Linked DNA regions of Ovis aries. The main gene of each other region encodes a partner of the protein of the gene in region 4 in a complex. Links are inferred from orthologs where the notes say so. Each region holds a gene or a part of one and is shown on either strand. Other genes may lie near its edges.

Evidence for each region.
Region 1: the proteins of GNA13 (region 4) and ADGRD1 are in contact, whole or in part, in a cryo-EM structure (PDB 9V0U), measured with the Homo sapiens proteins. The link is inferred for Ovis aries from reciprocal best matches to the Homo sapiens genes GNA13 and ADGRD1. Residues at the interface, in NP_006563.2 of Homo sapiens: Val49, Val216, Phe218, Phe359, Val362, Lys363, Asp364, Ile366, Leu367, His368, Asn370, Leu371, Gln373, Leu374, Met375; in NP_942122.2 of Homo sapiens: Asn599, Arg601, Leu657, Met660, Val661, Ile662, Val664, Phe665, Ser667, Val737, Ile738, Ile741, Ala761, Val764, Asn810.
Region 2: the proteins of GNA13 (region 4) and S1PR2 are in contact, whole or in part, in a cryo-EM structure (PDB 7T6B), measured with the Homo sapiens proteins. The link is inferred for Ovis aries from reciprocal best matches to the Homo sapiens genes GNA13 and S1PR2. Residues at the interface, in NP_006563.2 of Homo sapiens: Arg47, Val216, Phe359, Lys363, Asp364, Ile366, Leu367, His368, Asp369, Asn370, Leu371, Gln373, Leu374, Met375, Leu376, Gln377; in NP_004221.3 of Homo sapiens: Ser66, Met68, Tyr69, Leu72, Arg130, Ala133, Ile134, Lys136, Val137, Lys138, Leu139, Tyr140, Tyr209, Ile212, Val216, Ser219, Gln227, Thr228, Leu231, Leu232, Val235, Tyr288.
Region 3: the proteins of GNA13 (region 4) and GPR35 are in contact, whole or in part, in a cryo-EM structure (PDB 8H8J), measured with the Homo sapiens proteins. The link is inferred for Ovis aries from reciprocal best matches to the Homo sapiens genes GNA13 and GPR35. Residues at the interface, in NP_006563.2 of Homo sapiens: Lys46, Arg47, Leu48, Val49, Lys214, Asn215, Val216, Phe218, Arg331, Gln337, Gln338, Lys340, Pro341, Leu342, Tyr343, Phe359, Arg360, Asp361, Lys363, Asp364, Ile366, Leu367, His368, Asn370, Leu371, Lys372, Gln373, Leu374, Met375, Leu376; in NP_005292.2 of Homo sapiens: Phe45, Gln51, Thr53, Thr55, Met59, Asp113, Arg114, Ala117, Val118, Pro121, Leu122, Arg123, Arg125, Arg128, Ala197, Leu198, Arg201, Pro202, Thr204, Asp205, Gly207, Gln208, Ala211, Ala215, Met218, Val219, Ala280, Lys281, Glu282.
Region 5: the proteins of GNA13 (region 4) and GPR4 are in contact, whole or in part, in a cryo-EM structure (PDB 9JHP), measured with the Homo sapiens proteins. The link is inferred for Ovis aries from reciprocal best matches to the Homo sapiens genes GNA13 and GPR4. Residues at the interface, in NP_006563.2 of Homo sapiens: Arg47, Pro341, Tyr343, Phe359, Lys363, Asp364, Ile366, Leu367, His368, Asn370, Leu371, Lys372, Gln373, Leu374, Met375, Leu376, Gln377; in NP_005273.1 of Homo sapiens: Gln45, Asn50, Arg115, Ala118, Val119, Ala120, Pro122, Leu123, Ala126, Ile204, Val208, Ser211, Val212, Ser213, Thr214, Glu218, Lys221, Ile222, Leu225, Asn290, Glu291, Gly292, Ala293.

Annotation. Positions count from the first base shown.
Region 1 is NC_056070.1:46,263,994-46,270,035, reverse strand, and holds the start of ADGRD1 (adhesion G-protein coupled receptor D1), read left to right. Parts: upstream 1-2,219; 5' UTR 2,220-2,815; coding exon 2,816-2,881; intron 2,882-2,970; coding exon 2,971-3,007; intron 3,008-4,128; exon of another isoform or gene 4,129-4,368; intron 4,369-6,042. UniProt on the Homo sapiens protein: Adhesion G-protein coupled receptor (aGPCR) for androgen hormone 5alpha-dihydrotestosterone (5alpha-DHT), also named 17beta-hydroxy-5alpha-androstan-3-one, the most potent hormone among androgens. Also activated by methenolone drug.
Region 2 is NC_056058.1:12,608,136-12,613,972, forward strand, and holds the start of S1PR2 (sphingosine 1-phosphate receptor 2), read right to left. Parts: upstream 3,512-5,837; 5' UTR 3,380-3,511; intron 1-3,379. UniProt on the Homo sapiens protein: Receptor for the lysosphingolipid sphingosine 1-phosphate (S1P). S1P is a bioactive lysophospholipid that elicits diverse physiological effects on most types of cells and tissues.
Region 3 is NC_056054.1:1,008,880-1,014,653, reverse strand, and holds the start of GPR35 (G-protein coupled receptor 35), read left to right. Parts: upstream 1-1,699; 5' UTR 1,700-3,624; intron 3,625-5,774. UniProt on the Homo sapiens protein: G-protein coupled receptor that binds to several ligands including the tryptophan metabolite kynurenic acid (KYNA), lysophosphatidic acid (LPA) or 5-hydroxyindoleacetic acid (5-HIAA) with high affinity, leading to rapid and transient activation of numerous intracellular signaling pathways.
Region 4 is NC_056064.1:61,129,031-61,134,804, forward strand, and holds the start of GNA13 (guanine nucleotide-binding protein subunit alpha-13), read right to left. Parts: upstream 3,855-5,774; 5' UTR 3,625-3,854; coding exon 3,342-3,624; intron 951-3,341; coding exon 724-950; intron 1-723. UniProt on the Homo sapiens protein: Guanine nucleotide-binding proteins (G proteins) are involved as modulators or transducers in various transmembrane signaling systems.
Region 5 is NC_056067.1:52,983,088-52,989,109, forward strand, and holds the start of GPR4 (G-protein coupled receptor 4), read right to left. Parts: upstream 3,549-6,022; 5' UTR 3,462-3,548; intron 1-3,461. UniProt on the Homo sapiens protein: Proton-sensing G-protein coupled receptor activated by extracellular pH, which is required to monitor pH changes and generate adaptive reactions. Activated by an optimal pH of 6.8-7.2.

The DNA.
Region 1 (6,042 bases), on a different chromosome or scaffold from region 4:
CCAAAATCCCCCCACCATGGGAAAGGATGCTTTACATGAAGATGGGCTCATCTCAGCATCTGAAAAGGAGCCAAGAAAGGGAAGAGATGTGAATGAACACAAACCTGCTATCTGGGATTGAGATGAAAAGCAAGCCCATGGGGAGTGAGGGCAGGTTCCGCTGACTTTGATTTCTACCCAGCCTTTATTGCTGCTGTTGTACTGAGATGCCTCCTGTTATCTGATGGTCATTAAAAAAAAAATGTTTATTGGAGTATAGTTGGCTCACAATGTTGTGTTGATTTCTGCTGTACTGTAAAGTAAATCAGTTGTACATATACACATATCCACTCTTCTTTAGATTCTTTCCCCATGTAGGTCATCACAGAGTATTGAGTAGAGTTCCTTGTGCTATACAGTAGGTCCTTATTGGTTATCTGTTTTATATACAGTAGTGGATATACGTCAGTCCCAGTCTCCCAATTCATCCCCCCGCCTTTCTACCCAGTAACCATAAGGTTGTTGTCTACATCTGTCACTCTATTTTCGTTTTGTAAATACGTTCATTTGTACCATTTTTTTAGGTTCCACATGTAAGTAATATCATGTGATATATGTCTGACTTTCTTCACTCAGTATCACAATCTCTGGGTTGATGGTGATTTTTTTTTTTTTTTTTGATGGTGATTTTTATGGTTAAGAAAAGAACACAGCCAGCGTGGTTCAGTCTCAGTGATGGGACAGGTCCATTTAATCCGCAGTCTGTCTAATGTTTCGTAAATTAAGACGTGGACTAAGGAAAGTTTGCATTGGCTCCGCCTCCTCTTGCATCTTTCTCTTTCTTCCAGAGGGAGGCAGTGGGAGGGAGAGAAAGCAGATGAAATGGAGAGAGAAAGGCTGTAAGTTTCCGCTGAGGCCCTTGGCCTAGGCTACAGGATAAAGGTGCAGTTACGACAGTGGAATCTGCCATTTTTTTCAAGTGCAAAGAGATGGAGAAACGTGCTCAGGAATTTTCTGGAAGCCTGCTGCCGCTGTGCAGGGAAGTTCAGGCTGTCAGATCATCTGAGAGGTTGTGGGCTACAGGCGCAAGTTAAAAATAATCACTTCACAGTTTTGACATCACTTTTTTTGGTTCTCCCCCATGGAGACTGGAGGTCATCTTCTTATCCTCTTTAGGAAGTACTTGGACTCTGTTCCCATTTAAAGTCAGGACGAAGGAGCTAATAATATTAGTTAACATTTAATGAGTGTTATTTTCTACTTTATAATAATAATCACAGCTAACATTTATTGAGTGATATGTTTTGTTTTTTTTTTTTTTTTTGCTTGCAAAAAACAGTGAGCATTTATGGAGTGCTACGTACTTCCCAAGCACTGCTTTGAAAGCCTTGTATGCATCATCTCATTTCTTGTTACAGCTCTTTGGAGTTGAAACTACTACCTCCATTTTACAGATGAGGAATTTGAAACAGAGAGGTTCAGTAGCTTGCCTAAGGACACGCAGCTAGTTAAATGTTGGAGAGGGTGCAGGGAGGTAAGTTAATCAAGTGTGTGTTAGTTAATCAAGTGTGTGTTAATCAAGTGTGTGTTAGTTAATCAAGTGTGTGTTAGTTAGGGGCATCCCTGATGGCTCAGACAGTAAGCAATCTGCCTGCAGCGCATGAGACACTGGCTGGTGTTTGTGTGGGTTAACTGTGTTACTTAACGGTGTGTGTGTGTGGGGGGGACATGTATGCAACATAGATGAAAATTTTAGTTTCTAGTAAAGTTAGATGAGGCTGGCTAAGGGTCCCTGGATGCTGTGGCTGTGGGGGAGATGTGGGGTTTGGTGTAATGGCCCAGTGCACCTTGTAAACAGTTTCATCATCTCTGAAAAGGTTAAAGAGAAAAGTGGCCAGCATCCTGTGGAGGGCATGTGCTGGGGAATGGGTGTGGGTGTTTCTTTTTTTTTTTTTTTTTCCTATCCCTAGATCACCTTACTTTTTTCTTTGGGCAAAGAAGACTCAGCTCTAAACAGAGTTTATTGTCTGTTGTACGTTTTGTATTTATTAATATTTACACTGACTTTGAAGGTGTTAAGGGAAGGCAGCTAAGGCATGTCCACACCTTGCTCTGTCTGCTCTGCCTCAGAACCGCAGATCCTGAAAATAATTCCCACTTCTTAACAGACCGGTGTTAGGACCCAGGAAGGATCCAGCAGCCGTGGGATATAAACAGAGGAGCGGAGCTGAACAAAGTTTGAGGAGAGAGCCTTACATCACTCACTTTCTCCACCCCGAGCGCCGCCGCGCCGCCGCCGAGCTGGGGGACAGACGGAGGTGTAAGCCTGAGTCACACCAGAACTTAGTAGCGACGCGCTGGCCCGAAAACCCCGGGAGCTCCAGACGCGGTTCCTCCCACTTCCAGGAAAAAGGGCAATGTCCAACTCCGGACCTGAATGGAGACAAATGACGGCTCTTGACAGAAAAAGAAAACCGTGAGGGACCCCCGCTTGCCCCCTGAGCCTCGCCACTGCAGTCCCAGCCCAGGATCGCTTCTCAGGAGTTTGGATCGGAAGCTGTTTCTCCTCCCCTCATCCCAGGGCCGGTTGGTCGCTCCAATGTGTTTATTGATCACCAAAGACTCTCAAGTTTGGAGACAGGCAAGAAACACCTATTAACTCTCCACGACTCTGCCTTCACGCTGCAGTTCACAAACTCTAGCTAAACAGATGGTGTTCTTCTTTCTGGAAACTGTGACAATGTCCCTTTCCCAAAGAAGGGAAAGTTAAAGGCAATTCTTTGTCACAGACCCTCAGGAATTCCACTTGGATCATATTTTCGCCTCTGAAAAAACCATGAAGAAGCTGCTGCCTCTTTGCTGCTGGCATTCCTGGCTGTTGTTATTTTATTGTGATTTCCAGGTAATGTCCCCAGGCGGTGCTCGCCAAGACGTGAACAGATTTCTGCTGGGAGGTTCCTTGTGTCTTACAGTGTGATGTTTTGTGTGCAGGTGCGTGGGGCCCATGCCAGGTCACAAGTGCATCCAGGTAAGGCAGCTTCCCTCCTCTTCTGCTCACTACCTGTTCTCCCTGCCCAGTCCGGGGTCTGGAGGCAGTTTGCTTGTCTCTGAGGCTGTTGGGGAAGGAGCCCTTCTTGGGCTCCGCTGGCCCCACCAGCTGTCCTGACACCTTGTCCCCTGGGTCACTCATCATCCTCCACCTCTGACTTGGAGAAGCAGGTCTCTCTGTGCCCCGATCCTCTCGCTTTGGGGGCATCTGAACACTTGTGATTCAGAAAATGGGATGTTTGCAGGTGAAGCATCTTCTGTCCTTGACTCAGGTTGTGCGTCTCCAGCGCAGATTCACTTGAGCTGCCTTAGAGCAGCTTTTGTCCCCATCCTTTTGTCCCTGCCCTCTTTTGTCCTCATCTCTCCGATGGGAGCTTGACTGCTCCAGCCCCTCCGATGAAACCCCTCGCCCACCCCCGCTTTCCCTTTGCCATCGTGAGTCCTGTCTGGAGGCATCACCGTGAAGCTTTCCTTGGGGAGGACGGAAGAAGCGAGAAACTTTTCCTTGCTCCTCCCCAGAGAAGGAGGCCTGTGGGACCATGGTGGAAGTGCACTTACTGGCCCTTGTTCCCATTTGCTGCTTGGCTGGTACACGCACGGTGGAGGGGACCTCGCACTAACATCCCCAAATCTTTGCCTGGGAGCCATGAGAGCAACACTGACCTGGGGGTGAGCGTGCCTTTGGCCGTGATTATGTCTGGAGCAGCCCTGCTGCCTCCACAACCCGCCAGAGATGGTGCACGCAGCATCCCCACGGTGTGAATCCAGGTCCCAGGAGATGGACCCCGGTCTGGTGGGAGCACCAGCGTGGTGCTGGGTGAAGGTGGACGTGGGGTGGGGGTCTGTCCCTGTTGGAGTGATGCGGCCTTCACTGTGGGCGCTGGGGCATCCTATCATCTCCCTGTCTTTACCTGCAGGTCTCACAGGGCTTGCCGCTTCTTCTTTTTCTTCTTCTTCTTCTTCTTTTTTTTTACAAAAGTTTATCCTTAAATTTGTAATAGGTCCCAAGACAACACTTCCTCCTAGCTATAGGTGGCAACAGACATTATGGCAGGGAGTCCAGATGTTTAAGCAGAAATGGGACTAAGGATCGTCATTGCCTCAGGCACCAGGGCCAGCAGATTTTTCGCCAGATTTCTTTATTCCACCTGTGGCCAGGGGCATTTCCCTGGCAGCCTTCGCTTTTAGTTCCTTGGCTTTCTTCTGCCCCTCCTCCTTTTCGGCTTGGATGTCTTATCTTCCTCATCCGTTCCTGGGCTTCTTCTGGGGCTACTTCAGGGGCTTCTTCTTGGCACCTTTGCAGCCCGACATGGCACCTGCCGCCCCTTCCCCAGACCCTTCCAGGTTGTGCTGCTGTTTGTTTTTATATGCACAGTCACGTTCAGTCTTCTGCTGAAAATGACGTGAAGGTGGTAACTTTTCGCCGGCTCCCCTTCCTTGGCCAAAATGCTGAACGACTTGGGAATAAATAAATCATCTAGCGTCGCACTAGAGGGAGGCTGTGTGAGCCCTACTGCTAACCCATGCCTCATAGCACACGCTGATTTCCCGGAGGGAAATGAGGGGAGGGGTCTGGCCAGGAATTCACGCAGAGTGAACAAAGCGGTCCTGAGACCCCAGCCCCGTCAGGGAGGAAAGAGAGCTGTAGGGAGGTTCCCACATTGTGCCTTTGGCCACATCTCCCCACATCCACTCGCATCCTAGGCTCTCAGCTTCAAGGAGCGGCTTGAACCTGGCCTTGGTTTCATAGAGAGACTGTTCCTCTCACATCCTAATTTAGTGTAGATGTTTTTCTGTTGGTCAACTAACTACCTTAGAGAAATCATACTAATACTGACAATCACAGACATGTTACTAAAAAGAAGCAATAGCCAATGAAACCTGGATGGGGAGAGTTCAAGTTCAAAAACCCAGATTTCTGACACATACATGTACGTACACACACACACACACACACACACACACACACACACACACACCAGGCCTGGTTTTAAATAACTGGGATATGGTACAAACAGAACAGTCTTTGCACTCAAGTCACAAAGAGTCTGATAGAGGAGACAGACAACAAATATACTAACAAACAAAAACTTTCAAATTATAGTGTGAGTGCCATGGGAAGACAAACAAGGCGGTTGGTAGAAAGAGTGGATGGTGGGTGATAAAAGGTGATCAGGGCAGGCCTCTCAGAGGGTGTGCCCTGTGGACCGAGGCTTGAAAGACAGAGCTGGTTATGCACGGCAAGAAAGCAAGCAGACTTCTGGGCAGGGGTGACAGCAGGGCGTCCTGCTGTGGAATGAACTCGGTGTGTCACGGGCCAAACAGGAGGGGACCGTGGTTGGCACGGGATTGGCAGGGACCAGTTTTCCTCTGTGTGGTGTAGATTTCTGTCCAGTGAAGTCAGTGGAACCCTGGAGACATATTCCACACATTCAAGGGGTGAGGGCTTCCCTCTCCTGACACAGAGAGTAAGTAACAGGGAAAGGATGGAATAGAAAAATCTGGAAGAAAAACTGGAAAGGAAAAATGAAAGCTTTTATTAACTTTCTTTCTGAATATTGATACCCCTCCCTCTCTGCCCCTCTCACCAAACTGGATCAACAAAACATTAAGTATGGATGAGAAATTATTCCTGAAGAACTGATTTTTTTAAAATGTATTTTATTGGCATAGAGTTGATTTGCCATGTCATGTTAGTTTCTGCCGTACTTGAAAGTGATTCAGTTATACATACGTATATGTGTCTATATATATATTTTTTATCATACTCTTTTCCATTATGGTTTATCACGGGATATTGAGTATAGTTTCCTATGGATCTTGTTGTTTATCCATTGTGTATGTAATAGGTTGCATGTACTAACCCCCAACTCCCAATCCATCCCTTCCCTCACTCCCCCCGCCTTGACAATCACAAGTCTGATCTCTGTGTCTGTGACTCTGTTTCATAGGTAAGTTCACGTGTGTCTGATTTTAGATTCCACATGTAAGTGATATCATATGGTATTTGTCTTT
Region 2 (5,837 bases), on a different chromosome or scaffold from region 4:
GGGGGGGCGGGGTGCGGGAACAGCCCTCCCCAAGTCCCTGGAAACATGCCTTGCAAGGACCATGGGCATGCCAGGAGCACCAGTTCCAGAAAAGGCTGGTTAGGCCGGTTCTCAGTGAGCCTGGGAAGGATGAGGGGCTTCCGGGGTCGCCCAGCCATCTCAGTCTCGGACACCCCCTCGGAGGGGCGCCCTGGCCCCCGGCCTGATAGAGGCAGCTGCTCCCCCTGGGCAAAAGAACATCCGTCCTAGTTTGGGAACAGAGAAAGGCTTGTGCGCATCCCCAGGGACTGTCGCTCCGCCCAGATCGCCACACAGAGGCCTCTTGTTCCCCTGCCGGTCGGGGCCCAGGCGCCCCAATGCCCTCTGCCCATTGTAGCGGGCTTGGTCCAGGTCTTGGGCCTTACCAGACCGACGGACAGGCCAGAAACAGCCCCGCGCTCTGATTGGTTCATTTTCAATCCCAGAGTATTGAGCAACTCAGGCCTATTGGCCTGAGCTTTGCATCCTCGACATTTGATTGGGGGCCCAGGTGGGGGCGCTCTATTGCTTGCGCTACTGAGAGGGTCCTTTCCAGGCGGTTGCAGTTCATTTCGTCTCGAGGACATTAAGACTGTGTGGATGTCCCCGGGGAGAGTCTGAACCACAGCCTGACCGCTGGGTCACCCGTACCAGTCACCCTCGGGCTGCCCTGGCCTACTGGCCCCCCCCTGGGGATCATAATTGAGAATTGAGGGCCCGTGGCAGGTCTGGGAAGCACCCTTGCTGGTGGGCTAGAAGCCCAGGGTGTGCCCCCTGCACCGCCCCTCAAACCCCTCTCCTGTCTGGCGGCCCAGAGAAAGATTTATGGCCGATTCCTAGATAAATAAGAAGTGGTTTCAGTCCTCATACCCCAGGGACTGACTAAAATGCCGTCTTCTTCCTTGGGAGACTACCCTCACTTCTTATAGCCTCAGAAGGAGGGGTGGTTAGTTAGAGAAGACGAATGCGTCTTTCTTCTCCACTAAGGCGATTCCCAGAAAGAGGAACCAGGGTCTGGAGGCTGGAGCGGGCACAGTCACCCTGAGGCAAATACAGGCCTGGCCTGCTTCCCCTCCCTGCATCAGGCTCCCGGCGTGGCTAGCGCAGGGCCTGAGTCCTCTTCACCTTCACCAAGGCAGTCACCTCCCAGATGCTCAGTAAGAGGTCACTAGGCTCAGCACTGGGGAATGGCCAGGCCTGAAGCAAGAGGGACAAGCGATGGGGTTTGGAGGGAAGGAAAGTGAAACACACCAAGACTGTTCAGGGGGAGATTAAAAGAGAGGAAGGCAGGAGGAAGTCTCAGTGGCTTCCAGGAGCCCCTCCCGCAAGTTCTATGGAGGCATGCCCTGTGGTTACTGTTCCTCTGGGCATTCACAGGTCCCATGCCCCTTGCCCTGGGATAAACCCCTGGGCTCAGTTTCCCTCTATTTTCCAGGTGGCTCGGTGGTAAAGAATCTGCCTGCATTTCAATCCCTGGGTCGGGAAGATCCCCTGGAGGGAGAAAAGGCAATCCACTCCAGTATACTTGCCTAGGAAATCCCAAGGACAGAGGAAATCCCTGGCGGGCTACAGTCCATGGGATCACAGAGTCAGACACGACCAAGCTCACGTGCATGCATCCATTCCCCCCTATACTGCCATTCTCCAAGCAGCAGCCAGGGGGAGCTTTTAAATTTATAGCTTCAATATGTCACTCCTCACCTCCAAACTCTTCCATGGTTCCCCAGTATCCAAGGTGGCCCCCGCCCACCTCCCCTCCTCCCACTCTCCCCCAGAGCCATTCCACTGAACCACACTGGCCTCTCCCCGGTTCAGCCCCATGCCCACCTCAGAGCTTTAACTCTGCTATTTCTTCACCTGCCACGGCCTTCCTATCTTTCAGGTTTCTGTTTTAGTGGCCTCTAATCACTAGGCTATCCTAGTCACCTTCCCTAGGCCCCTCCTATCACAGCATCTTTTATTATATTCACAGCACTTGCCAATTTCAGAAATTATCATTGTATTTCTTGTTTTTTGTCAGCTTCCATGGTTGAATGTGTGTCAGAGGCCAGCAACTAAATCCTTCAGTCCCTGGAAGAATGCCTGGCATACTTAGAAAGCACTCAGAAATTGTGTGGGATGGATGGATGAATGGATAGATGGACGAACTGATGAATGAATGAACAAGGGAACGAGGGCCCCCGAGGGTGGAGGCTCCTAAACTCAGCCCAGGCTCAGACAACGGTAAAGGGACGCGGGAGACACCCCTGGTCCGCTGGCAGGCCACCCCCACCAGGCGAAGCCCAGAGTCTCCTTGGAGACACGGCACAACCCGCCCCCGCCCTCGGGCCGCAGTCTCGGCCTCCTTATCTGGCGGTGGAATGCACGGTATCCACACTGGCTGCCTCTGGGGCCGCGCCTCCTTTCTTCCGCGACAGCCACAAGCAGGGGACCCCCAAGTCTCCAAGTGGGGGTGGGGGACGCCTGTGCGTCCAGCCCGGTGCCCCGCCTCGATCTTCCTAGAGGACTGGGGAGAGGCGGGGAGAGGGTCAGCGACAGCTGCGCCGCGAGTGCCGCGCCCGTGTCGCGCCACGCGGGGCACCGTGGGCTCAGCGCGTGGCGCCTGGAGTGTCTGACTAGGGAAGAGTCTGGTGAAGGGATGGAAATCCCCGGTGAGTCAATTCGTGCCAGAAGAAGTGGGCGAGGTTCCCACGTTTGTCTGGGCCCAGAACCGCGCGGCGTCCGCGCCACGCGTGCCCGCGCCAGCGCCCCATCCCCAGGCCCCAGGGGAAAGAAGAGGCGCCGAAGCCACGCAGTCTCAGGTTCACTTTCCTTCCAGAACAAAGCCACGACCCCACGGGGGGCGGGAGGGAGGACTGGAAGAGATGAACTACTCAGGGAAACTGAGGCAGAGGATCAGAAGTGCAGGAGGTGGGCATCTGTCCTCCTCGGGGGCCCCGCCCCTTGGCTTGGCTGTACTGCGACGGCCAGCACCTTTCGCCCGCGTCCAGCCGTTGTCAGCAAAGAGGGGCGTCCTCCCCTCCCCCATACACAGTCCCCAAACCCCTGGTCTGGGGTGCACGCCATCCTGCCTCCCAGTCTCCGACCGAAAGCGCTTGGATTCCGCCTTCTCCTCCCGGCCAACTTCCTGCCGCTGGAGAAGGCGGCGAACTCAGTCTGGGGGTTCGCGGCCAAGGCAATGGGGCCTCCTAGGATCTTGGAGAGGGCGCACGATGACCACTCCCTGGGTGCAGCCGGAGGACGGGCAGTGCATGCGCGCCCAGGGAGCCCCCGACCCCTGGCGGGCTTTCCTAGCTCTGATCCGAGACCTCCGGGGCCCGGGGCCCGCCCTTTCTGCCTCCCCCTCGCCACGCACGCTCACCTGGCTAGGCCGACCCGACTCCTTGCCCGGGCCGGAGGGGCTTTGGCGCCTGTGTTCCCCGGGACGGCCGCGGCAGGGGCTGGGACTGCCCGCCGGGCTCCACTGCGTCCCGGGGCTGGGGACTGGGGACTCAGGGGCACCGAGGGAAGAGCCGCCTTGGCCCCCACTCGCCCCGCCCTGTCTCCGCCTCCTTTCCGGCCGGCGGCAGCAGCAATGAATTCCAGATGTGATCAGCTCAGCGGGGCGCGCGCGAGGGCGGGCGTGGGGGAGGCGCGCAGGGTCCCTTTGTCCGCACCCCCACCTCCAGCCCTGCCCCCTCCCAGCCCCCACCCGTGAGAACCGGCCAGCGCATGACGTCACGCAGCCCCGTACTGTCCAGTCGCTCCTGCCCAGGTGGCCTCAACCTGAGATAACTGTCTTGGATTGCAGATATACTCTTGGCCCCTGCCTGGGATCCTGGAATTGCAGGAGGGCAAGGAATTTCCTTACTTATTCAGCAAGGAGCCACGAAGCACCTACTAAGGTCAACACAACAAACAGGCATTAAGCGCCCACTATGTGTTCATCCAACAAATAAGCAAGTTCCTATTATGTGCTAGGCGGTGGCGGTGGTTTAGGCGCTAGGTGGTGTCCGACTCTTGCAACCCCAAGGACTGTAGCCCCCGGGCTCCTCCTTGGGATTTTGATTTCCCAAACAAGAATACTGGAGTGGGTAGCGATTTCCTTCTCCAGGGGCTCTTCCCGACCCAGGACCCACTGACGGGTGGATGCTTTACCACTGAGCCAGGGAAACCGACCATGTTCTAGGTCCTGCCACAAAGAATGGATTGGTTTCTGCCTTGATAAGGCCCCAGAATTGAGGCCCTGGTCCCTTTGCCCTAGAAGACTGGGAGCACTCAGCAGCCTCCACTGCCTCCGTCGGTGGAGTACCCTCCTTGTGGTCGACCAGCAGGCCCAAGCTAATTCTTGCTTTTCAAGTTGAGTCCCAGTCTTTTTTGGCTGAGCCATGCGGGATCTTAATTCCCCAACCAGGGATCAAACCCCATCCCCCCTGCAGTGGAAGCACAGAGTTTTAACCACTGGACCGCCAGGGAAGTCCTAGCCAGTTCTTTAGTTTCCCATTTTTTTCTCATTGAGCTTTTCCTGGGCATCTCTGTGTGCCTGGCTGCAGAGATGAAGCCCACCTGCATTTACCGATGTGTGTGTGTGAAATCAGGGACTAGACAATATGTCCCTCACTCCTTTGGAAATGGCAACCCATTCCCATAGTCTTGCCTGGAAAAATTCCATGGACGAGGGAGCCTGGCAGGTTATATTCCATGGGGTTGCAAAGAGTCAAACATGACTGAGTGACCAAGATCCCAAGCACAGGCATAGCAATGAACCGAAAAGGGAAAAAGTCCTTCCCTTCGTGGAACTTATGTTCAGAAGGGCGCTATTTGTGGAAATGAATACATCAACTGCTTATGTGTTTACTTACCACAATACAGTAAGCACCTGCATGTGCCAGACACCATTCTAAAAGGCTGGAGATATATCAGGAAACAAAACAGATAAAACTCCCTGTCCCAAGTTGATGTTCTACTATACTTGCTCAGGGCTTCCCTACTGGCTCAGTGGTAAAGAATTTTCGTGCAACGCAGCAGCTGCTGGAGACTTGGGTTCAATCCCTGGGTCAGGAAGTTTCCTCTGGAGGAGGAAATGGCAACCCACACCAGTATTCTTGCCTGGAGAATCCCATGGACAGAGGAGCCTGGCGGGCTACAGTCCATAGGGTCACAAAGAGTTGAATACGACTGAAGCGACTTAGCATGCACACATACTTGCTCAGAATATCTAAAGTATTACAGAGAGAAGAAACTGATAAATTTTCTGGGAGAGGAACTGAAAGATAGGGGACAGGGCATGGGAGGGACATAACTTTCACTCTGTGAGTGCTTTTGTATCTTTTGGCTTTTGTAACATGTACATACTTGGCCTATTTCAACAATAAGTTACGCTGAGGGAATTCAAAGGCAGTCCAGTGGTTAGGACTTGGGGCTTTCACTGCCATGGCCCAGGTTCAGTCTCTGCTCAGGAAACTAAGACTCCAACAAGCCATGCGGTCAAAAAAATTAATTGATCAATTAAACTGGAAGTTAGACTGCTTGTACCGAGATGTGTGCTTAGTCACTTCGTAGCGTCTCTTTGTGGATTACTGAATACTGGAGTGGGTTGCCATGCCCTCCTCCAGGGGTTCTTCCCAACCCAGGGAGGGAACCCAGGTCTCCCACATTGCAGGTGGATTCTTTACTGTCTGAACCACCAGGGAAGCCCTGATACCCAGACGGTGTAAGAAAAAAGAGGGAGAAGATAGGTACACTCTTCTGTGTGTATTTGGTTGTGCGGTACAGCACGTGGGATCTTAGTTCCTCAACCAGGGATAGAACCCAGGCTCTTGGTAGTGAAAGTGAGGAGT
Region 3 (5,774 bases), on a different chromosome or scaffold from region 4:
AGGAGCCGCGGGAAGAGCCCAGGCGGGCACCAGGGACCTGGTGGCTGAGCCCCCCGGAATTCTCCACGTGGTCTCTCCACTGCCCGGGAAACAGCCATACAGCGGACGGAGCGCGTCGGGACACACCTTGTTTGAACTATTTGTTAGAAACGTTTTTAGGATCCAGTTTATAAATAAACACGAGCACCGAGCAGTGTCCAGCGGGTTCAGGTGGCCGGCAGGAGCAGGCGGGGGCTCACACCAGCCACTGATACTCGGGGGGTGATGCGGAGCCGGGCAGGGCTGCTGAGGGGAGGAGGTAGTGGGTGGTGAGAAGGTGGGCGCAGGGCAGGTCTTGGGCGGGAGCTGGAGGGTTTCCATCCACACAGGTCCCCCCCGCCGACCGTGTCCAGTCTCCTGTCTCCCGGCCAGTGGCGCTCAGGGGTGGACGCTGCCCAGTGCCCAGTGGCCGTGTCGGAGCTGCAGGCTGCAGCCCTCTGCTCGTGACTCGGCGGGGGTGTCCCTGCAGGCCTCAACCCCGGGCCCCCAAACCCCTAACCCCTTTGGAGTGGGGGCCCTGACCTTGGCCTGGCATGTCTCCTGTCCCCACGCGTCCCCCGACTCCGCACCGCGTTGTCACCGTGGTCGGGGTGCCTGCCCTGTTGGGCTCCTTGTCCCGAGTTACAACGTCATTTCCTGGGAGGGGCTGCAGGGCCTCTGGTCCTGGCGGGAGGTCTTCCCACCCGTTCCTGACTTGCACCCTCGAGGCCGCACCACTAGCCTGCGGCTCCCTGGGAGCAGGCTGCATGCTCTGGAAACCCCGATTCTGAGTCAGGGGGAGATAGGGTGGGACCACTGCCCCTGAGGGGACCATCCCGCAGCTTCAGCGCCTCGAGGGGGTCCCCGTCCCCACCCTCCCCAAGGTGCGGTCTGTGATTTGTCGTCTGGGGGGCGGGGCAGAGGCGTCAGTCTCACCCTTGGCCTTCCTGCCTGCCCTCCAACCTCAGAGACGGAGCTGGATGTCTGCACGAGGCCATCCCAGTTTCACGCTTGGAGACCAGGAAGTGACCCCACCGCACACCGTGAGCAGTCTTGGCAGGGGTCCATGGTCAGCGGCTCGCTGTGTCCCGCTGCAGCTCGGGGGCAGTGTCAGCTGCAGGCCTGAGTGCCTGCGGCCTGGCCATCCCCACCCCTCCCTGAGCACAGCCACAGAGCGAGGGTCTGCGGGCCTGGTGGTGGCAGCAGGTGGGGAGTCTGTCGTGCACACTCATTGGGGGGGGCAGCCTTCCTCTGGGGCCCGACCCCCTCTGCAAGTCAGCAGGCCCTGGCCTGCTCCCGCCCTGCTCTGGGGCTGCTCCCCTCGAGGCCAGCGGCGGCCTCACCCCTGGCCCCAGCCTCCTGGCCCATCCCCTGCAGCTGCTCCTGTTCCTGCATCTCAAACCCACTGTCCCCCAGCCCCTCCCCGATCCACCCGGTCAAACGGCGCCAGGACAGGACGAGACCCCCCCATGCCAGGACCACCACCTCCCTGCCCCCAGGGCCAGTGGGTGACCCAGCTCCAGACCACACGGTATCACCTCTTCTCAGACCACAGAGGCTGACGCTGAGACAAGTTTGGGGTGCAGGATGTTTACAAGGGAAGATCTGACGTGTACACCCGGGGGCCCAGGTGGGGCTGAAACGCAGGTCTCCCGGGCACGTGTTAACCTCAGGCATCCTCAGAAGAAGGAGCAGAGCTTCATGTGAGCACACAGAAGTGGCCGCCTGCAAGCCAGGATGGGGCCTTCGCCGGGAGCCAGACTGGCCTGGGCCTCGACCACGGACGTCCAGCTCCCAGAGTTGGAGACGTCAGCGTCTGTGGTTAAGCCCCAGGCCTGCGGGGTTTTCTCTTGGTCCGGCATCGGCTGAGAGCTTCCCTGGGGCGCAACTTCTCTCTAAGCCTCCACAGGGTGTGCTGTTTACAGCTGCCGCAGCCTCAAAGAAGAACTCGTCCTGAGTCAGCGGGGGAGAGGCCCAGGGGGTGGGGGGCAGGGAACCTCTCCAGACCCGCGGGTTCCCCCAGCCTCAGAGGCCGCTGCGGTCGGCCAGCTCACCCCTGCCCGACGGCCCCGCCCGGATGACCAGCGTCACTGCGAGCCAGCCCCTGCTGCACGCTGCTCCCTCGGGCCAGCCCCGGCTGCCTGTCTCCCCCCCCCCCCCGGCCGTCGGGGGCCTCTGGGGGCGCCCTGGAGCCAGCCACCGCGTCTCAGCTCTGTCATTTAAGAGACTTAGCAGCAGTCCCTTCCCCACTTGGTCCTGGGAGGCTGGTGACTTCAGTGAGAACAGAGAGCTGGGGCTTCAGGCAGGGGCCCTGCGGATCAGCCCGCTTCCAAAAAGCCTGAAAAGGAAGATGCTGCCCACCGCCCATCACCATCAGCCCTTCACCCCCAGGCAAGGCGCCAGAACCCCAGAAGGAGGGTGGAACGCTGCCAACTTTTTTCCAGGAGCTGGCAGGGTGGCCCATGGTTGCCCTTAGTTCCACTCGGGCCGTCCGGGTCCCACGGCAGGGTCGGGTCAAGGGCAGGACCACAGCCACCGCAGATGGAAAGGCAGCCAGTGCCTGGGGCAGCTGGTACCAGCCTTGTGCCCTGAGCCAGAGGAAGCAGTGTCTGGGCATGGAGAGGCAGGGAGACGTCGGGGGCAGTCTCCGTGCCCCTCACACCAGGCCCCCTCCCGCCGTCAGCCCCTGGGCCTGCCCCAGCTGTTGTGCCATCCCTTCTCAAGAGGCACCGGCCCGCTGAGCTGAGGGGCCTTTCCCCAGGCCAGCCTCCGTGCCGGGCAGGCCGGTTCCAGTCGGGGCAGCCACCTCCTAGCCGAGCCGCCAGAGAGCAGTTCATGTTCTCTGGGCTCCAGGGTCCTTGCTGAAAGTGTGGGCAGGCTCTGGCCCGTCCCGTGTCCAGACTCTTCCCCTTTGCTTTGCCCTGGAGTCCTTGGTCTGGATGTGTCTGCTGGGGTAGCTCCAGGCCTGCTGACGAGGGACAGGGACCTGCTGCCCGAGGTCCTCACCGTCTGAACCCATCCCCTCCTGCCCAGCTGGAGGTCCTGATGCATTAGCATTCTCAGGCCCGTCTAACGTCACATCTGATTCCCGCCCCCAGGCCCAGCGCAGAGTTCCCGGGCAGAACGGGGCTGCAGAAGGCAGGACCCCAGGCTCTGGGAGGGCCTGGGCCCCGGGCAGGCCCACTGCTGCCCCCGCCCTCCACCACACTGACTGACAGAGAGCCAGGCCCCGCTCTGGGCTCCACGGGAGCCGCGCCCAGCTGAGGGCACTGCACGGAGCCCAGGGCTGTGGCCAGGGCTGGGGCCCACCTGGGGTGCCCGTTCTGTGGGCATGCAGGTGGGTGAAGACCGCCTCCCTCCTGGGCACGTCTCCTGGCTGACCCAGGTGGGTGGGTCTAGGCACCTCCTTTCCCGGCTTTCCCAGCAGACTTTGCCCCGAATGCCTGCCTGAGTTTCCTTGTGGTCTTCACTTCCTGCTCCGGACTCAGTGGGCAGCACCTCCTCCGTGGGAGCCGAGTCGGCCTGTCTCGACCCTGGACCTCCTCTCTCCCCGCCCTCCCTTCCTCCCCAGGCGAGGTCAGCCTTGGGGGAGGCAGAGCTCCTAGGGTGAGTATCAAGACCCTAGCTCCCCGAAAGCAGGTGTCGGGGCAGGACGTCCTGGGCAGGAGGCAAGACGGGGCCAGCCAGGCCAGGGCTGAGGCTCTCAGACGCTCCAGGCCCTTTTTCCTGTCTGTCTGTCTCTCTCTCTCTCTCCATTCACAAGCATGCCCTGCTCAGTGCCCCATGTCTGCCTCATCTGGTTCTACTGAATTTCTTTTTCTTCCCTAATATTCAACAGATTCATCCTAGCTTTTACTGCCTTTTGAAATGAAGGGAGAAGTCACTTTGTTCCCGAGGATCCTCTGGGCTTTTATGACCCCAACACTCGGCCTTGGACATGGTTGCTCCATCAGACGCAGTCTTTTCTAGCTTTGAGGACAAGGTTTGTAGGCAGGCAGGGCCCGCCAGTTCGCGGAGTGCTCAGCTCTGCAGCCCCGGGTCCTATCCCTCCCCTCCCAGGGCCCTCTCCTCACAGGGGAGCCAGAGGCGGCCGTGGGTTCTGGCCGCAGCCCGGGGCGGGTCTGGTCTGTGCAGTGACCTTCAGGCCGTTCCCCTGATTCGCAGCAGGTGCAGGCTGCTGGGCCTGGACAGCGCGGCCCTGAGAATCGCGTGGGAGCCGGCATGGTCGGGGTCCCTCAGACACTGGCTGTGGAGGTTTGCTCAGGAGCACGCCTGTGCACAATGTCCCAACTCCCCCATCCCCTGTACAAAGGGAGGCCAGGGCCCAGCCTCAGGTGCCTGGGACTCCTGGTCCTTCACAAGCCACCCAGGAGGTGAGGCTGCTCGCGAGGCTCCAGCACTGGGTTGGGCAGACCCCTGAGGGTCCCCTGCAGGGTCCGGAGCCTGGGCAGGAGTGACGCTGGGGCACTGACGCATGGCATGTGTATGTCCTGTGGGCTCAGCCCTCAGCCCTAGCCCCGTGGAGGGGACCCGCTGGCATCAGCACAGCTCTGTCCACCACCTTGCTTCCCTGACCCGTTCATTCTGAAGCCGCTCTGTGAGCTCGTGAGGATGAGACCTTGGGCAGGTCCAGGCAGGCAGGACGGTGTGCGCAAGGTCACCAGAGGCCTGGCAGTGAGGTGACAGATGACAGGGGTCTCGCAAGGTCACCAGAAAGGCTTGACAGTGATCTAACAGATGACACAGGGTCTGCACACAGGTCACCCAGAGAGGCCTGGCGGCGGGGTGACAGACGACGCGGGGGTGGGGGGTGGGATGGCGGCGGGGCGGGGGTGGTCTTCGACTTGCCTGGGGTAGCCAGCTGCAGGGCAGGGCTGGGAGGCACCCTCAGTGCCTGGAGCTCTCCATGCCTGCGGGGAGTGGCCTGGGGCGCATGGAGAGAAGGGTGGAGGTGAGGCCTCAGGCTGAGGGAGGAGCTTGCTCTCCAGTTTTGAGCAGGGCCAGGTGTGTGCCTGTTTGACAGGCACAGGTGTTTGTCTGGTTGAAGCCTCAGGAAGGACTGGAGGGAGGGCCTGGCCAGAAGGCTGCTACATTCTTCCAAGGGAGACAGCAGGGCATCCTGCTGGCAGCCGGCGAGGGGTGAGGGTCGAGGGAGCGGGCTGAGCTGCGGTTCCTCGGAAGCAAAGCTCACACCACGACACTTGCTCAATCAGTCTGGCTGTGCAGACGGCCACAGGGAGCGCGGGCCCCTCCACCCAGGAGCACGGTGCGGCTCTTCGTTTCTCAGATCTTTATTTCTCTCAAAAATGGTTTGTGGTTTTGAGCATGCTGGTTTCCATTCCTACTTTACTGGCAGTTTCTATCATAAATGAGTGTGGAGTTTTGTAGAATGATTTTTTTCCTTCTATTGAGAGGATTATAATGGCACCCCACTCCAGTACTCCTGCCTGGAAAACCTCATGGACGGAGGAGCCTGGTAGGCTGCAGTCCGTGGGGTCGTTAAGAGTCGGATAGGACTGAGCATCTGCACTTTCACTTTTCACTTTCATGCACTGGAGAAGGAACCCACTCCAGTGTTCTTGCCTGAGGAATCCCAGGGACGGGCGAGCCTGGTGGGCTGCCGTCTATGGGGTCGCACAGAGTCGGACACAACTGAAGCGGCTCAGCAGAGGCAGCAGCAGAGAGGATTATACGCTCTCTTTTGTTTCATTAGAGTAGTGAATCACACAGATTGACAGTCTCATGTCAGAATACGC
Region 4 (5,774 bases):
ATTATTATTTTTTACCTTTAAACTAGATCAGAACCTTATCTTCCACCCTCTCTTCAATGCTGTGTAATAGCTACAAACTTTTACAGTCTTGTGTAAAACAAAGTAGAAATAATAAATACAAAATAAATTCTAACTGTTTCCCGTGAAAAAGAGAATTACAAAAAACATCATGTTATTTTAAGGAGGAACATTTTGTAAAATGTGCTTAGAAGCTTTTAAAAAGCATAGCATGCAAATCTATAAAAAGCTCATTGACTGTTAAACATTAAGAATTTTAACCTCTACTGATGAATTGTGAATTAAATACCTCTAATGGCTAAAGAGCATACTTGAACAATTAAGTTACTGAACTCTTAATTCAAAAATAAAAAGTCAGTTTTTAGAAAGATCAATACTGCTGCTATAACTGAGATGAAATTATTTTTAAAAGGAGAAAAAATTAGATGAAAATGCCTGAGAAGCTCATTATGATCTTACCCTGGAAAAAGAAAAATGACCAACTAATTACTCAATATAACAGCTTCATCAAACCCATTGGGGGTCTGCCTTATTTTTACCTTGGTTAGTTTATCAAGCTCATCTAGAAAACTATCCACATTTCTGAGGCTAAAATTTTGGATACATACATCATATTGTGGAAGGCAGTGAAAAAGGTGTGTTACAATCAGATGGTAATAAATGCTGTTAAAATAAAACCACAACATTAAAAAAAAAATCTCTTACCAGCTGAAACTCGCGACGCCGGTCGTAGGCATTCTGTATGCCACTGTCTGCCCATAATGCTCTTATAGCAGGAAGGTACTGTAAGAAAACTTGCGTTTCCACAATTCCCTGGGCGGTCAGGGGCGTCCGGGTATCGAATGCCATCAGCTTGTCTCCATTGAGCTGGTTTGAGTTATCCCCCCAAGGAATGTGGAGTTTCTCTCGGGCATCTACCAGCACCCTCATACCTTTGTTTAAGAAAAAAGAAAGTGTGATGGGAGTCATTAGACACTCTCAGAGATCCGATCTCGTATTCTTTCCTTAAACCTCTTGAGTACTCTAGGCCCAGCGGCTCCAAAACACGGAGACCGACATCAAAACAGAAGTAACTTCTCAGAGCGCAAAAAAAAGAAAAATTAAAACTCACAATTGTTCAGTCATAAAATCAGAACCTTGAAAAGCAAACACAATTAACACAAGTGCTTCTTTTGTAGGATTTTAACGTGTTCTAATTAATAAAATAATTCCTGGGCAAAGGGAGTCGCAAGACAACCAAGACCAGCAAAGGAAGAAGAAACTCCATGGCATGACCTGACGTCCAGGCTCTGAAGATCTGCAACCAAGGCTCTGAGTCTCTCAGAGACTTTTATGAGACGCCAAGAGGAGACTCAGCGCCCTGTGTTCTCCCGGTCCCTGAGCACCCTGCCCAGCCCAACCCACGGCTTCCAGGACCTCGCTCAGAGCTCAGACACTTCTCCCCCCGCAAGCTTCCAATCGGGGTGAGGCTCAGGGTGGCGTGAGGCTTCCCTAAAAGGAGGAAGACCAACCGCACAAAAGATGTGGAAGCAGAGATTTCAACTCCCAGAGGCTATTCCAAACCCATTATTCCTAACACCACACTGTCACCTTTAGTCCCTGCTGACAGTCACGTGACTGTCAGGTCATTTGTTTCGATGACTGAAAAACCGTTTGGCTGTCAATTTTCTGATCACATCAACTCAGAAAACGCAGACGGCTAGTGACTTCATCTCATCAGCACTCGAAGTAGGTCACACTTAGGAGCCAGTGTACAAGAGGAACCAGGTGTTAAACAAGAGCCAGGTATCTACCTAGCTCTCAGTCAACAGCTGGTCTCATGCTGGGAGGGGTTGGGGGCAGGAGGAGAGGGGGCGACAGAGGATGAGATGGCTGGATGGCATCACTGACTCGATGGACGCGAGTCTGAGTGAACTCCAGGAGTTGGTGATGGACAGGGAGGCCTGGCGTGTGGGGATTCATGGGGTCGCAAAGAGTTGGACACGACTGAGCAACTGAACTGAACTGAACTGACTCATTAACAGAACCCCTTACGATCAGCTGCATCAGATACAAAGGTATCCTCGGTTAAGGGCTGACTACAGAGAGTCTTGGGCCTTGAGAGAGACCTTAGATTAATTTTGTACTAAACCTGAAGAAAGGATAAAGTCAGCCTCTTTTTACAGCTTACTGCAGAACTCCCAGGGCTGGCTGTGGTCTGTGAGCTCCTGATGTCCTGCCCCTCCCTCATCGTTACCCCCACAAAGCTCCCCCTCTCCATTCCCCGCACCCCAAGCAGTTTTCCTCCACTCCATCCTGGGAGGGGGGAAAAAAAAAAAGTGACTCGAAAGAGTAACTTAAGTACTTCCTCAACAAAATCCCCCCTTAAAAAAAACGCTGCTTGGAAAGGCTTGACATTACCAACCCTTAGATAAACTGCTATCCAGACGCCAGAGAGCACCCTCAGGCACCTGAAGAATCAGGCGCTGTATCTGAATTCTGCCAAAATGCCTTTTATAAAGTAGAAAACAGCTGGACACTAAAAAGAGTGCTAATTATAGCTCAAATGACAAAAGTAAAATCTCCCCCATTTGTTTGAAAGCCCAGAACTAAAATTCCTGTGCGTTTTTCACTTGAGAACAAAGATCAACTCTAGTTTTAAAAATACCCACGAACAGCAGCAGAACCTATGACCCAAGCCGACACTGATTCATTGACTCAGCCTGCACGGTCTCAGGCCCTAGACCTCTGTACCCACACACAACCCCGTTTAAGCAGGAGACGCTCCCCCCACCGCAGTCAGCACCAGGAGGAGGGTGCAAGGTGCTCGGTGATGACAGGCACACATCCTGCCCGACCGTGACACTGGGGCGAAAAACCACTGATGCTAAAACTTTTTTAGGCCGACTGCATGGTGCGCTTTCCTGACGGCAGCAGAGCAAACAGGACACCCTCGAGTTTCACATCCGTGCCCCCAACGGGCCAGGAGCCTGTCACCCTTCGCCCTTGACCAGAGTCTCGGGCACAAGGTTCCGGAGCTCCGCGGCCCGGGAGCTGGGAGTAGCCCCGACCCCATGTGACTCGGCCACCCGCCACCCGGGGCGCGAGGCCGGGCGGGCAGCGCCCGGGCGCGGGGTGGGCTGGCTCGCCCGGGGGAGAGGCCAGCCTGCACCCCGGGGTGCCTCCCTCCGGCGGCGGCCGAGGCCAGAGGCGGGGTGGCGGGGGGGCCCGGGCCGCGCCCCCTTCCCGCGCGCCCGGCCGGGGGCTCCGGAGAGGAGGGCGGTGCCCGGCGCCGCCGCCCGGGCCCCCCGGCCGCCGCGGCCCCCCGCTCCCCGGCCCCCCACCTTTGATCACGTTGCTGTAGATGGTGGGGCGGAACTCCTCGCGCGCGCGCTGGTCGAAGTCCTGCCCGTGGATGATGCGCATCTGCTTGAGAAAAGTGGACTTGCCGCTCTCGCCCGCGCCCAGCAGCAGGATCTTCACCAGGCGCTTCACGTAGGTCTTCTCCCGCGACAGGCACTTGTCGATCTCCTTGGACTTGCGCTGCTGCTCGGCCTCGCCGCTCGTCAGCACGCAGCCCGGGAAGCACACGGACAGCACGGACCGCGACGGCAGGAAGTCCGCCATCTTGCCGCCTCGGCGGGGCCCTGCGGCTTCTCCGGCCGCTCGGCGCGCGGCTCCGGCTCCGGCTCGGCGGCTCGAGGGCGGGGCGGGGGGGCGCCGCGGCGGCCCGGGCGCGCCGGCGGAGGGCGGGAGCCGGCGGTCTGACTCGCAGGGCGGGCCGGGCAGGGCGGGCCGGGCGCGCCGCGGAGGGAGGGCGGGAGGGCGGGCCCGGCGGGGCGGCGGCCCCGGGGCGTGCGCGCGCCCGCCGCCCGGCGGGGACGCGCACGCACGCCGCGCCCGCAGACTCGCGTTCTCTCGCGAGCCCGCGAGCTCCGCCGGGCGCGCGCGCGGGGCGGGGCGGGGCGCCCGGGTGGGGCGCGGCGGTCACGTGGCCCGCTCCTCGGCTGCGCCTCCTGCTTCCCTGGAGGGAGCCGCACCCACCCCGGGGCGCGCGGCTACTTCCGGGCATCCAGGGGGCCGGAGCGCGGCCCCCAGGTCTGCCCTTTGCTCCCAGTGCCCGCCACCGGCCGCCGAAGCCCTTGGCTCCGAAGTTGTTCAAACAGAGAGCGGGCGTTTGCGGTTTCGGTGCATTTTCTTCCAGTGGGTCCCTTGACACCCCGCCCTCCCGAGCCCGGGATCGGAACCGGAGTGACCCCCCCCCCACCCAGCCCAGACCCTGCCAAGACGCTGCTTGGGGAGGACGGGCCGGGGAGGCACCGAGACGGGCTGTGGATGCCTCCCGGACGCGGTCCGCACGCGGGCTGACGCCCACGTCTGCACGGGTGAGGTCAGCCCGAAAATCCCCCCGCACCGGACACCGACGCGGCTGTTCCCCAGAGGAAGCAGATAAGCAGACAGACCGAGGACCGGAGCCGGCGGAGGTTAGGTTTCCTGCCGGACTGCAGAGGATGTGACCGGCCAAGACTCGGGCCCGGACACCTGCAGGGCTGCGGGGCCACAAGTGACACCTGGGCTGGCAGCGGGACCCCTCGCAAGGACCCCGGAAGCCAACTTCTCTCTCCGCGCCCTAGTTTCAAGTGGAAAAAGCCCTCTGGGCTGGTCTCTGTGACAGTCCAGCTCCTTCCAAGAGCCTTGCCTGGGGCTTCCGGGGCTCAGAAGCTTGTGTGTGTGTCAGGCAACGAGGTAGCAAAGTCAGTGCCCCGAGAGGCTCAAGAACATGTTTAGACAAAAAATAAGTGCTAATCAGTTTGCTGACCGGATTGGGTTAATGGCGGAGGAGCCCCATGACTCAGTAAATTGGCTGCAGTAAGCAATACCTGTGGTAGGGTTATCTCCTGCCGTCCTGGCCAAGCCCGTCGGGTGGACAAGCTGCCCTACACAAAGTAGGGTAGGTTCCCCTCCAGTATCACTAGGCCGTGCCTCTAGGCAAAATAGATAGTAAAAGTCCACCCAGGTTGGAAGAGCTCTCTGCAGCTTCAGCTGCTGTTTGGGAAGCTTGGTTCTCCACCCTTGAAAGGACAGACCTCTGCCCAGGACAGGCTATAGCGCTGGCCCCCAAGCAGTGTGTCTGCTTGGACTCCGAATGCTAATCTGAATGCCACAAAAACAGGAAGAGAGGAACCTATCAGTTAGATAGTTGGCATCCTTTTTCTTCCTTTTCCGGGAGTGCTCACAGTGTAATTGAAGCACCAAGGATCCCTCTTCAGGCAGGAAGGCTTTCCCGCCCTGCCAGTTCATGCTGTGACATGTAGAACAGCAGAGGAAGGTGTCCAGAGCCCTGCCTGTAACCGCGTTGAACAAGCTTGACTCATCAAACCCTGCAGCCCGCCTCAGCGCTTCAGAAAAAAAAAAGAGACCTCTTTGGGCCCTGCCTGGGGTCACACTGCAGTCGTCCAATAGCTTCTGTCTGGTTGTCAAGCCACCTTGAAAGAGCTAGCGTTAAAATGAGCTGGTGGTATAGTAGATAAGAATCCTGCTGATGCAGGGGCCACAGGGTTCAGTTCCTGGTCTGGGAAGATCCCACGTGCCGCAGAGCAACTGAGCCCCGTGTGCTACAGCTAGTGGGCACACGGGGTCCTGCGCCCCATTCTCTGAAGTGAGAAGCCTCAAAGTGAGAAATGCAAGGTGGAGAAAAGCCCGTGCGCCGCGATGGAGACCCAGGGGCAATCAAAATCGAATAGATAAATAAAGGGATTACTTTTAAAATGCGCTGG
Region 5 (6,022 bases), on a different chromosome or scaffold from region 4:
CCTGTACTCTTGTTTTTTCTCAAGTCTTTCTGGAGTTCTCAGCCCTCTTTGAGATTCTGCTGAAAAACCCGCAGACTCTCACCACCAGAAGGCAAGTGACCTCGGGGGTCTTGTGTGCCCTTCCATCACCTGACTCCCTTGCCCAGCACTCTCTCCCCCAACCCTATACCCCCGCTCCCTCCTGGTCCCTGCTGGTCCCTCCCAGAGGGCCAAGGAAGAGAGATAAGTTGGGAATGTGGAGCGATAGTGGGGTGACAGAAAGGACTGTCAGACCCCTGACCCCACTTTGTGCAGTCTCAGCTACTCAAGCCAGGCCCCAGGAGCAACTTCTCAGTCCAGCAAGGCTGAAGGCTTGGGGGTAGGGGGTTGAAAGAGCAAGAGGGAGAGGTAATACAGCCCCCACACAGCTGTCACTCACCAGCCTTGTCCTAGAAGCCTCCAGGTCACCTCTCTCACTCCCCACTTCCCTCCTCTGAAGGCTCCAGCTCCCCTGTCAGCCCCCCGGGGACCAGTCAGCTCCGGTCGGTCTGCTCATTAGAGGAACGAAATGTGATCACAGAGCCTCGCTCCCCACCTGGCGCCCTGGCGGCTGGCTGGCGAGAACCGAGGACAGTCAGGCCACCGTGACCACTCCACTGGCCTCAGTTTCCCCATTTCTACCGAAGGTATCCCCATCCCCCCACATATGTCCCCCACACCACCCAGAAGGGACACCAAGGAGGGTCCTTGACTCTACTCCTCTGATGTTCTAGATTCCCAAGGCTCTCAGATCCTCAGATTCTATTGTTAGTCCAGGCCATGGTTTACTGTTCTATTATTATAACCTTTTTGAACTTTACCTTCCTTCCATTCTATTATTATTATTATGGCGGCTTTCCACACCCCTACCCTTCTAGGTTTCCAATATCCCAGGAAATTCACATTCCAGGATTCTCAAGTTCTATTGTTAGAATGCTCTATGATTAAAAAAAAAAAATTGTACAACTTTCATAATCTATTATTAAACTCTCAGTGATCATTATCTTTGCCCAGCAAACACGAATCTGCATTTCCCCTTTCTTTTTTACAGATATGGTGAACCCCACTTCCTTTTTACCTCTTCTGGTTTTGTGTTTTTTTTTTTTTTTTTTTCCTTTTAACATTCCAGCAGCCTGAAGTTCTAAAATTGTGCAAAATTGTAAAATACTAAGAATTCAATTTTGGCGGGGGGTGGGTAGTCACCACATTTACCTGGCCCCTAAATTCTCTCCTCCTGGTGGGGACACTAAGAGCCCAGGCTGCCTCTCTATACCTGGCCCAGAAACTTTGTCTCATCCCATCCCACTGGATCACATACTGGCTGAGGCTGAGTTATTATTTGTCTAGACACAAACCAAATTATAGGCCCTGTCCTGCAGGAGCAGTGGGCTTCATGGGGAGGGTCAGGAGACAGAGTCAGGCGGGAGTTAATCTCTGCCCCTTCTCCTCACTTCCCTTCTCTTCCCTCCTTTTCTGAAATTCCACCCCTTCCACTCCAACCGCCTCTTATCCCCTCTCCCTCTCCACCACCGTGGCTTTAGAAATATTTTCTCTCCTCTGCTTCTAAAAATGCTCCCTCCTGGGTTCCAGCCATTCACACTCACCCTGGCATTCTTCCCTCTTCCCTGCGAAGACCTCCTTCCCCACTTTAATCTGAGGTTGTGGCAGCAAAAGAAGCCAGTACTTTGGATTTGGGCTTCAGTGGAACCGGAGTCCCAAACCAGCCTGAAACTGACTCACCTTGGGGACTTCTACACTTGGGCCTCAGTTTCCCCATCTCTGAAATGGGGGGTTTGGTCTAGCTGGCTCTGATAGCACTTTTGAGCTCTCGACTGCGAACACTGAAAACTGCCAATATTCCAAAGCCCATCTTTTTGGACTGAAGGATTCAAATACCCCAAGACCTTGAACTTGAAGGTTTGAGCTCTCCCAATCCTCCTTTTGGATCATTCTCACATACTTGGGTCCTTTCATGCAAAGACTTCACATTCAAAACTGATGATACTCTAATTTAAAAATTAATTTAAAAAAAGAGTTCACATTCAAAACTTCTTGATGCTATGATTTTGGAGCTCCCCCACCCCCTCAAAAAAAACAAAACAAAACAAAACACCATATCAATCTCTCTCATTTTCTCCTACTGAAACCCGGCCCAGAGAGGACAACCACCCCATCCTCACCCCAAACCTGAAGTCAAGCTCATCCACAGAGACAGAGTTGGGGGGCCCTTGGTGAATTCTTCCCCAGTGGTTTATCGGTAAAGAATCTGCCTGCAGTGCAGGAGAAGCAGATGTGGGTTTGATCCCTGGAGGGGAGGATCTCCTGGAGAAGAAAATGGCAACCCACTCCAGTATTCTTGCCTGGAAAATCCCATGAACAGTGGAGCCTGGCGGGCGGGGACAGTCCACGGGGTCGCAGAGTTGAAGACAACTGAGCGTGCAGGGACACACTGGTGAGTTCAGGAGAAGTGTGGCTGGTGGACGGCCCTGGTCGGGGGTGATGAGGGGTGTGGCCCCCATCATCTTCATCTCTGCCCTCCAGAAAATCCCCCAGCTCTCATCCCATCTGAGTATATATGACATTCATCCCACAGTCGATGCCTCACAGAAATTCCAGAGCTGTTCTTCAGGGTGGTTGAAGGGGGGCGGGGGGGGGGGCGGGCGAGGGGCGGGGATGAAGCCGAGACAGGAAGGAGTTAATGGGTGACCCAGCCAAATCCTGGACTGGAGGAAGTTGGGGAGGAAGTTTACCCCCTCCCCCAGCCAGGAATTCCTGAAATTGGAGGGTGGGGTGGGTGCGACCTCCAGAGCAGCGGGGTGACTCTGTTAAGGGGGAGCCCAGGTCACAGCGGTACTAAATCCACCTGCCCCAGGTGGTAATCCTATTGCCCTCTACCCGACTCCCAGGAAGACCCTCAGCCCAGAGGAAAGTCGGAGAAGGATGGCGACGGAGTGAAGTTGCCAGAACCGAGTCTAAGATACGTGGAGACAGAGACAGAGTCATACAGAGAGATAGCGAGACAGGAAGAAAAAAGGCAAAGAGATGCCCAGAAACGGGGAGACGGAGGCAGAGAGATCCGTATAGACAGAGTTCATCAAGACCCAGGGATACAGGCAAACGGAGTGGAAGAGACGGAGGGGCAGAGATAAAAGATATCGACACAGAGACATCGAGATGGCTAAGGAGAGACACGGGCAGAGGGAGCGGGACCGCAGATCCAGAGAGACATCAGAGACCGACGGAGAGACGGAGACAGACCCAGAGACAAAGTCAGTCGCGGAGACGCAAGGAGAGCCAGCCCCAGAGAGGGGCGGGGACCGAGGCCACGCGGGAGACTGAGGCAGCGGACGGACGCGGGGACGCAGAGCCCGCGACGCGCGCGGGGAGGAGCGGTCGCTGGCGGCCGCGGGACCTGCACGGACCCGGGAGGAACCGGCGCCTACCTGCGCGTGGCGGCTGGACGGGGCGGGCGGCGCCTCTCCCTGCGGCTGGGGGATCCGGGCTCCGCGGCGGCGCAGGGACCCGGCGGTGACTCCTCCCGGCCCCGGGCCAGAGCCACCAGCCGAGGCCCCGCCCCGCCCCGACCGGGCCCGCCCCCGTTAACCCCTCCATTGTCGCTCCCCCTTAACCCCTTCACCCCACTAAAGCCTTCCAGCTCTGGAGAAACCTCACCTGCTGGTGAAACACCCCCGAGTCCTTCAACGTCCCCAGCCTGGAAGCCTCCATCTCATAAATTCCTTTGCTTACCCTCCCTCCAACCCCCGCACTCCAACTAGATCAAGCCTTAAGCTATGGGGAGGTGGGGGACGGGGGTTTAGGGAGACCCCAGATCTAAGTCATTCATTAACTTTTTGGTCATTGCACTCCCACTTCCCCAACGGAGAGAATGAGGGGTCTGTTAGGTCCCCATGCCCATGGTCAGGGCCACCCCTGGAAGGAATCTCTCTTGGGTTTTCCAGCTCCAGCCGTGCCTCTTCGCCAGACTTAGGCTGGTGACCTCTGTGTGCCTCCGTTTCCTCTTCTGATCATGTGGTCTTTCATAGTCCTTTTATCAAGAGGACGTCATACTATAAAGTCTGTAAAACATGACTCCCCCCCCCCCACGACCTCCTTTCTCCCTGTTTTATTTGCTTTTCCCCATAGAAAGGGTCCTAACAGTCTGTGTATTCCACTTTTTTCGTTGTTGTTTTTCTAAATATCTGCCTTCCCACTAGGAGGAGTGTCATTTTTCTGTTGGGTTACTTTACTACAGATACATGTGCAATACACGTTGCTTTCAAGGAGTAAATACATGAATGTTAAGTGCTGCAAAAATATTTGCTGATTTTTATGTTATCATCATGTCCTTCATAAACTGATCCATTCTTAGGCAAAGCACTTTGGACAGACCTGGGATGTAACACTCAAAAGTGACAACTAATAAAAAATAATTTCAAAATTCTCTAAATTTTTTTTTTAGAAAAAGTGACAGCTAGAACTTCCTTGGTGGTCCAGCGGCTAAGACTCTGAGCTCCCAATGCAGGGAGCCTGGGTTCGATCTCTGGTCAGGGAACTAGATCCCATAATTCGCAACTAAGACCTGGCACAGTGTGGGTTGCGGGGGAGGGGGGGGGAGTGACAGCTATTGGGCTTGAAAATTCTTTTTTGTTTATTTATTATTCTTTTATTATAATTATAATATTTATTGGGGCTTCCTCAGTGGCTCAGCTGGTAAAGAACCCATCTGCCAATGCCAGAGATGCAAGAGACAAGGGTTTGATCCCTGGGTGGGGAAGATCCCCTGCAGAAGGAAATAGTAACTCACTCCGGTATTCTTGCCTGGAAAATTCCATGGACAGGGGAGGCTGGCAGGCTACAGCCCATGGGGTCGCAGACTCAGACATGACTGAGCATGCATGTGTGAGCACACACACACACGCACACACACTCTCTCTCTCTCTCTCTCACACACACACACACACACAATGATAATTACTATTTTGGCTGCTCTGGGTCTCCACTGTGGCATGAGGGCTTCTCTAGTTGAGGTGCGCTGACTTGGTTGCCTCATGGCACGTGGGATCCTAGTTCCCTGACCAGGCATGGAACCTGCTTCCCCTGCACTGGAAGGATGATTTTTAACAACTGGACCACCGGGGAAATCCCTGTTTATTTTGAGAATAAAAATGCCGGGATCTTAAGGGAGAAGCCCAATAAGTTGTCCAAATTAAAACATAAACATTTCCATCACCAGCGACCACTGTTTTGTTTGGGTTTTTTGCTCCCTTCCAGGGCACTCACTCTCTACTTTACCCCCAGAGACACTCCATGCCTTTTTCTTTTTTTTTTTTTTTTTTTTTTTTTACTGGAAATGAGTGTTGCCTGTTCTAGAACTTCATAGAAATGAAATGAAACAGTTCTAAAAAAAAAATACTCCTTTCCTCTCGGGGCTCTGGAGGCAAATAGAAAGTAAGACTTAACCAAATACCCAAGTGACCTGCAATGCACACAGGAATAAAAGCTTTTTCCTTCCACCCTCCCTCAAGGGGACAGGCTGAGAGACATACCAATGAAAGTGTCATGAAGAATTTAGCCCCTCTCCACAAATAACCCCATGTAAAGCTTTCAGACAAGTCCTCCCATCAGCTCCTTGGCCACCCCAAGGTCCTTCTAAAGAGAAACTCTGAGATGCCCTGATGGGTGAGGGTCCCTTTCTCTCATGGACTCACCCTAAGTTTATAATGTGATTCAGTTAGGACCCTGGCAGGAAACAGGTAGCCATTCAGAGAGCTTGTGCACTGAATAGCTTCAGTAGCACCAACTCTTTGCCACCCTGTGGGCTGTAACCTGGCAGACTCCTCTGTCCATGGGATTGCCATTCTCTTCTCTGGGGGATTTTCCTGACTCAGAGACTGAATCCAGGTCTCCCACACTGCAGGCAGGTTCTTTACCGTCTGAGCCACAAGAGGAGCTATAGCTCTAGACAGAGAACACAGCCACAGGCAAAACTGCAGGGATGCAGAGA